Arabidopsis thaliana: one gene and its partner. The protein of the gene in region 1 interacts with the protein of each later gene in a pairwise test. Each region holds a gene or a part of one and is shown in the gene's direction. Other genes may lie near its edges.

What was found.
Region 2: the proteins of NIK3 (region 1) and AT3G12180 interact in a protein complementation assay, tested with the Arabidopsis thaliana proteins (one large-scale study listed by BioGRID).

The regions. Positions count from the first base shown.
Region 1 is NC_003070.9:22,385,900-22,389,821, reverse strand, and holds the start of NIK3 (NSP-interacting kinase 3), read left to right. Parts: upstream 1-2,055; 5' UTR 2,056-2,890; coding exon 2,891-2,996; intron 2,997-3,120; exon of another isoform or gene 3,121-3,377; coding exon 3,378-3,507; intron 3,508-3,592; coding exon 3,593-3,664; intron 3,665-3,745; coding exon 3,746-3,889; intron 3,890-3,922. Other genes in the region: ACLA-2 (ATP-citrate lyase A-2), read left to right, coding at 108-189, 273-368, 457-558, 654-770, 859-975, 1,060-1,131.
Region 2 is NC_003074.8:3,881,377-3,885,298, forward strand, and holds AT3G12180 (Cornichon family protein), read left to right. Parts: upstream 1-1,953; 5' UTR 1,954-2,087; coding exon 2,088-2,162; intron 2,163-2,643; coding exon 2,644-2,825; intron 2,826-2,910; coding exon 2,911-3,033; intron 3,034-3,133; coding exon 3,134-3,194; 3' UTR 3,195-3,488; downstream 3,489-3,922. Other genes in the region: AT3G12170 (Chaperone DnaJ-domain superfamily protein), read left to right, coding at 1-95, 197-298, 380-439, 525-631, 718-800, 892-982, 1,075-1,279.

The DNA.
Region 1 (3,922 bases):
AAGTTTTGACTCTTCCACTTTTTTCAACTGTTCCGAAGTCAAGAGCTTTAAGAAGTCATGATAAGTCAAGAGTTTGGGCGGTATGATTAACCTCTTACGTTTTGCAGGTGGGGCGACATTGAATTTCCCATGCCATTTGGAAGAGTGATGAGTTCAACAGAGAGCTTCATCCACGGTCTAGATGAGAAGGTATCATACCAATAAGCGTAGAGTAATTGACGCTTCTGGAAACACCAGTTTCTCTATGACTTATGACCCTTTTGTATATGCAGACAAGTGCCTCTTTGAAGTTCACTGTTCTGAATCCCAAGGGAAGAATTTGGACTATGGTAGCTGGAGGAGGTGCAAGTGTCATCTATGCTGATACCGTATGTTTTTATATGAACACCGAGAATCTCCTGCATTTTTCTGCTTAGAAGCCTTAGCCTCTAAAGTGTTTACTGAAATGTTATCCAGGTTGGAGATCTCGGGTATGCATCTGAGCTTGGCAATTATGCTGAATACAGTGGAGCACCCAAAGAAGACGAGGTTTTGCAGTATGCCAGAGTTGTCATTGATGTAAGATGCTGCTTTAACTTCTGCCAATAAAGCATCTGAAAATAAAGTCACTCCTGACTTGGTCGTGGTGCTGAATGATAATACTGCTTCTTCAGTGTGCTACAGCGAATCCGGATGGAAAAAGCAGGGCTCTGGTAATTGGAGGTGGAATTGCTAACTTCACCGATGTTGCTGCTACCTTCAATGGCATAATCCGAGCTCTCAAGGAAAAAGTAAGCAAGAAGAGAGTAGAATCATCCACAAACACTTCATTGCCCCTTGACTACAAGTATAAATGAACCATGCTTTAACCGTTTACAGGAAGCAAAGCTGAAAGCAGCAAGGATGCATATATTTGTGAGGAGAGGAGGACCAAACTACCAAAAGGGACTTGCTAAAATGAGATCACTTGGAGACGAAATCGGTGTCCCCATCGAGGTATGTAGACACACAATGAATAAACTCAAGACATTCCCGCTTAATCAGTTTCTAACTGTTTTTACATGTCTGTTTGATTTCAAGGTGTATGGTCCTGAAGCAACAATGACAGGTATATGCAAGGAGGCAATCCAGTACATCACAGCGGCTGCATAAGCCTTTACAATCTTATCACTTACTTTCAAAATACTCTTTAGCGTCTCTTGAGTTTGAGACGTGTTTGGATTATGTTTCACTTCTAATGTATCTTACTATTCATAAATAAAGAACAAGTATCTTCTTTTTTCTTACTTGGTATTTTCTCTTTTGATTCTCATCTTCTTCTTGACTTAGATCAGAAGAAAACGTATTTAATCAACTTTTATCTAGCAACTCCAAAAATTCTACTAGGAAATAACGATATGGAATCAGAAGCATTTAAGCCTTTTACACACGATGCAAGCAATTTGCTGAAGTGGATATCGACAGTCATAGACATGTCCATTTTTAGACTTGGCTATTCAAAAATTTGGACCATTTTTCTATTAATCAGGGCCCGTTTTTAGTGATAGCTCTGGATATTTTCATTGAGCTGGGCCTTTTCTGGTCATGGAAAGAGATTGCAATATCTATTTAGCCATCCCAAGTGGGCAAAACATAATCTACGCTTACAAAATTTGTGTAAACGAATTCGTCTACGCTTACATTTTTGTGTAGTAAAGAGAAGTATTATGTTATCCTTTAATCAAAAACTCAAAAAGGGGTAAAATAATTGAAGCCTGAAAAAGCCAACAAGATAGGAGACAGGCCATGAACGTGATCTGCCCATCAAAAAAAACTTTTTTTTTTTCTCGGTAACTTTTTCTAAAAAGCAAAATATTAAAATAAGAGAGAGATGTCCTTGTTCTTATGTTTTTTCTTTTATCATCTATGTGACCCATCTCTTCAATCTAATCACATTTTTGTATATTAAAGTGTTTTCTTGAAACATTTGTCCGAAAGCAGAAAATAAAAAGGATTCAAACTGAAATCATGAAAACATAAACAAAAAAAATGTACTATTCTTTTTACCTCACAGTAATTTTGTTTTATATAAAAAGCTTATAAATTAACAAAACTTATAAAAAAGTGAGAAAAACAGAGAGTCTCTTCTTTTCTTGTTATTCTGTCAGTATCTTTCTGTGTGTGTTTGTGGATTTTTTGGCATTTTCATTTTGGATTTTGCTTGTTTGGTCCCTTTCTTTTCATGATTATTATTTTTAAATTCCTTTTTTATATTGGTGGTGTGAATGATAAGAGTAGGCAGATGAGAGATTAGATGATTTGGTAATAGTGGTGTGGAATTAGAAGCAAACCTTTTTTGAAAAAATTAAGAATGTTATAGAGATTAGTTATTCAATAACAACTACTACCAAAGTCATAAAAATGATATAAAATATAAACCAAGAAGCACTATTAGTATCACTCATCACTCAATAGCTTTTTTTTTTTCAGATCTCTAGGAAAATTTCTCAGACTTTCAGAGCATTTTGGTGCTTTTGTTTTGCTTGGTTTCTCGGGAAAATTCTCTTCACACTTTTAGAGTTTTCTCTCTCTTCTCTATCTCTTGTCACAGCTCGTTTAGCATTCATTCTCTTAATCGTTTCTTCATTCAAAAATTCTCTCTTTCTAAGCTGAGTAACTTGCAAGTCGTCATTTTTCAATTGGGGTCTTCTCCTTTTTACTTCCTTTGAATTGAAATCACAGAGAAAGAGAGGTTCCATTGCTGGAAAATGGATTGCTCAAATTAGTTTCTGTGTCTAAATAAAGACAGAGAAGAAGAAAAGTAGACAAAAGCTAAGTTTTTTTTTCAGATATGGGAGAGAGAAAAATGAGTTGGTGGGTTCTTTGAAACTTGTTTTTGTTCAGACCAAAGTTGATTGCTTTAAGAAGGGATATGGAAGGTGTGAGATTTGTGGTGTGGAGATTAGGATTTCTGGTTTTTGTATGGTTCTTTGATATCTCTTCTGCTACACTTTCTCCTACTGGTGTAAACTATGAAGGTTAGTCTTTTTCTTCTTGGAGAAATCTCAATTTTTTTCTCTATGAATTTATCATCTTTGGTTTTGTCTATTTTGTTTAGTTGTTCCGAAAATTCTGGTGAATGTTTGTGTGGATTAGGTTCTTTTTTGTTTCTTTATTGGATAATAAATATCACAGCTTTAAATGCTCACCAGACTCATATAACCTTAGCCAATAGCAGCTCAAGTTTACTTCATTCTCTGTGAAACTATACTGCATATAAGCTTACTGGGTTTTTCTTGGATAAGATTTCAATTTCGAAAAATGCAGCTTTAGCAATAAGATAATTCATAGGAGTTTTGAGGCTAGATTTGTTCTTTCAATCTGAAGTTTCTTTCTTTTTGTTTGTCTGAAATGAGCAGTGACAGCTTTGGTTGCTGTGAAGAATGAATTGAATGATCCGTACAAAGTTCTTGAGAATTGGGATGTGAATTCAGTTGATCCTTGTAGCTGGAGAATGGTTTCTTGCACTGATGGCTATGTCTCTTCACTGTGAGTCTTCTCTTCTCTTCTCGTATATTAGATTAAAAAAACCAGATAGATCTTTAAGACTTGTCTTGTTTTCTTAATGAAACAGGGATCTTCCTAGCCAAAGCTTGTCTGGTACATTGTCTCCTAGAATCGGAAACCTCACCTATTTACAATCAGTGTAAGATTTTTCTAGTCTTTGCTATATGTGATTCTTGTTCTCTGTTTTGCTTCTTGTTGAGCTTAATGTTTTGTTGTTTAGGGTGTTGCAAAACAATGCAATCACTGGTCCAATTCCGGAAACGATTGGGAGGTTGGAGAAGCTTCAGTCACTTGATCTTTCGAACAATTCATTCACCGGGGAGATACCGGCCTCACTTGGAGAACTCAAGAACTTGAATTACTTGTGAGTGCTCCTTTACGGTTTCACAATGATTCT
Region 2 (3,922 bases), on another chromosome or scaffold:
TTGGTGTTGAAGCAACAGCATCTCCACAAGAGATAAGGAAAGCGTATCATAAGTTAGCATTGAGGCTTCATCCTGATAAAAACAAGGATGATGAGGTTTAACTGAGGGGTTTTGGTTTCTTTACTTTTCTTAGTTTTTAGGGGTCTATTCAATTTTACATTGTAACCGGAATTCTTGTTTTTCTTATCCAATACAGGATGCTAAAGAGAAATTTCAGCAGTTGCAAAAGGTTATTTCGATTCTCGGTGATGAAGAGAAAAGAGCAGTCTATGATCAAACTGGCTCAGTTGATGATGCTGTAAGTTGAAAGAAAGTTTTCAACTTAAGTAAAGGTACTGGAGGATTTTCTTACAAACTGGTTATTTCCCTATCTCATTAGGATCTTTCGGGAGATGTGGTTGACAACTTGAGGGACTTCTTCAAGGCAATGTACAAGAAGGTAAGAATCATGATTCACAATTGATTTCTTTTTGGACTTTGCAACACAACTGTTTCGTTCTGTATACTGATCATTTGTGCTATAGGTCACCGAGGAAGATATTGAAGAGTTTGAGGCCAACTATAGGGGTTCTGAATCCGAGAAGAATGATTTGATTGAGCTATATAACAAGTTTAAGGGTAAAATGAGCAGGTAATTAATCATCCCCTTGTTTTCATTATTGTCAAGTTTGTGAGTTGAAGTTTGTATAAACATTATTGGTACTATATCTCTTTCAGGCTTTTCTGCTCAATGCTTTGCTCGAACCCCAAGCTTGATTCGCACCGTTTCAAAGATATTATCGATGAGGCCATTGCAGCGGGTAGGCTTCTCTTTCTTGCAATAATTCTTTTGTCTATAAAACCTATCCAGGTTCTGATTTGTTTGTGCATACCATTGTTTAACATCTGCAGGAGAAGTGAAATCAACAAAAGCTTACAAGAAATGGGCAAAGGAGATTGCAGAAATGGAACCTCCCACGAATCCCCAGAAGATGAGACGGAAGTAAGCTTCTATTTGTCTACCTTTTCCACCCCAATAAATGCCCTCTGAAGTTATCTTTGTTGTGACCTGTTTCAAAATTTCTATACTTTCAGAGCAGCAAAGGCTGCAGATAAAGATTTATACGCTGTAATGTCCCAGCGGGGAGATGAGAGGAAAGAGAAGTTCGATTCAATGTTCTCTTCACTTGTCTCTAGGTATGGTAGCAATGCTGACTCTGAGCCAAACGAAGAAGAGTTCGAAGCTGCTCAGAGAAAAGTTGAAAGCCGGAGATCATCGAAGAAGTCTAGAAAAAAATAAAGATTATGTAGTAGTTTGTGAAATTTAGGTTTCGTGTTTGTAATGGAGACCAATGTTTTTAGCGTAAATTAGATCACATTTGTTGCTTCTTAGAAGTTGAAGACTAATGTGTATTTGCTAGGAAACAATGTGTATTTTTACTTTTTGTCTTTTTTCCAACAACAAAAAAAGCAGTGAGTTTACCAGTTCAAAAGCTCAGGGTCCCACGTGTATGTCGTCTGGATCTTCAGAAGAAGAGAAATTCTATCACCGGGTCCTAGGACTTCTCCACCTGCAAAAACAATCAGGTCGAGTAATGCATCATAATCAGTTGATAACTAAACAAGCCTTTGTTACAATGTAACATATAAACGTACGGTATCAACCAAGTTTCTCGGGAAGAGGAGAGTGGACGGATCCTTTGGCTTGTATAGGCCTAAATAAAGAACTAACAAATTTCAAGTGAACTTATTTAAAAGAACCAAATAATTATTCTAAAAGAGAAGAAAAAAATGAAATTATTTACTTATATGGCTTGTATAGGCCTAAATGGCATACAGTTAATAAATTTTGTTAGTTCTTTATTAATTAACACCAAGCATCTTTTTTTTTTGTTGAAAAAGAAAAAGGAATTTAACAAAAAGGATATTCACAAAAAGAAACTAGAGAAGTAATAATAAAAAGGAAAGAAGAATCTAATGTCCAATAGAACCCCAAAGTAAAGTACACCAATTGTTGAGAGAAGAAGAGTTCTTTTTTTTTCAAAGGTATTTAAGGAGAAGAGTCGCAGTCGCAAAAAGACGAATCGTAATTGTTGAAGAGAGCAAATATGGCTTGGGATTTGTTTTTATGGATAGTCTCCTTCTTCGTTAGCTTGGCTCTCGTCGCTTCCGTCTTCTACCAGGTAATCTATCTACTTTGTTTGTCCCCTTTTACTTTCCATTAAGATTCTTAAATCGAGATCTGTCCTTACTGTTCAAATCCTGATTGTCGGAATTGTACTTGTGAAAAAACACCGAGCAACTTAGCTTTTTGTTCGAATTAGCTAAAAAATTAGGAATGGAACAATTTTCCTTTGTGTTCGTCGGTTTTGTACTAAATACAATTGACAATTTTTTGGGTCCAGAGAGGTTTCATTGTTTATCCTTAATCTTATGCTTCTAACTCAAAGTTGTTCTTAGTTCTGATTTGGATTGTCTGCAAGGCTTGTATATGATACTTGGTCAATTGAGACATATAGTTGATTAATTGCGAGTTATATACTGTGAATGAATGAAGTTAGATACTACTACCAATAGTGTTTACTCTCATACTAACTGCCTCTGCTAATGATTGAAGCATTGAGATTCCTTTTTAGTCTATTGATATCGTGTGTGATTTTGTAGGTTATCTGCTTAACGGATTTAGAAGCTGATTACTTGAACCCTTTTGAAACAAGTACCCGTATCAACCGATTAGTAATACCTGAGTTTATCCTCCAAGGGTCACTCTGCCTTCTCTTCCTCCTCACATGGCATTGGGTCTTCTTTCTGGTCGCCGTCCCTGTAACAGTCTATCACGCAATGTTGTAAGTATCTATATCCATCCATATTGCTTATGATTCTTGATTGACATGCGTGGAAACTAAATACGCGCCTCCCATTGTTCTTCAGATACAAAGAGCGACGTTATCTCATCGATGTCACTGAAGTGTTCCGTGGTATCAGCTTTGAAAAGAAGCTCCGGTATACCAAGCTCGGGTTCTACGTCTTTCTCTTCATCATGGTTGTCTTTAGGTAAAAAAAACTACAGCTTTAGCTTTCCTATTAACATCTTCACTTACTTTGGTTCTTCTACTATGAAGTTACTTACCGAGTCCATAAAACATTTTTGCAGGCTCACTCTCTCTGCGGTCTATAGCTTCACGGAAGATGATGATCTACTTCATTTGTTTTGATTTATGCGCTTGCGCTCTGCGTTATCAACCACTCTCTCTTTATTTTCTGAGTGTGTTTTAGAAAATTGTGACAGGTTTTTATTACGTCCCTGCTTAGAATTAGCCATTCAGGGATTCATCATGTAGCTTTATATAACGTATGATTACCGAAAACTCATCACAAATCGTTTGACATGGAGGGTTTCATCAGTTTTGTTTTGCGCAATATAATGTTCAGTCTCATCATTGAAGTCATAAAAATCATGTATCAAGAATGAAGCTACATTGTATTACATAGACTGGCTGTGGAAAAACGCACCGATATCTAGTTTATCGGAGATGCAATTGAACCCGCTGTGGACCTTAAATCCATGTCCATCCAAGAGGAGGAGGAGAAGGTGACCCAAACAGAAACTCTGCAAGAACAAAAACCAAGGCATGTTTCAACAAACCTTTTTATATGAGCCAATTTTTGCGATAGTGACCAAATAGCGACCCAAGAAGGATTACGGCCCAACCCAAGAGAGTTATCCAGCTTGATTACGTCCCAGACCCCCTATGACCCGATCCGGACCGGCTCAGACCATCTCACAAACCGATAATATTTACTACGGGCATTAAACCGGTTAAATAAGGAACTTTCCTTATTTAGATTTTTTAGGGCAAGAGTCTGGGACCACGAGAGACTCTAGTCAATCCAAGCGAAAAGATCATTCAAGATAGATAGACTACAATTTTCATACTTGGCC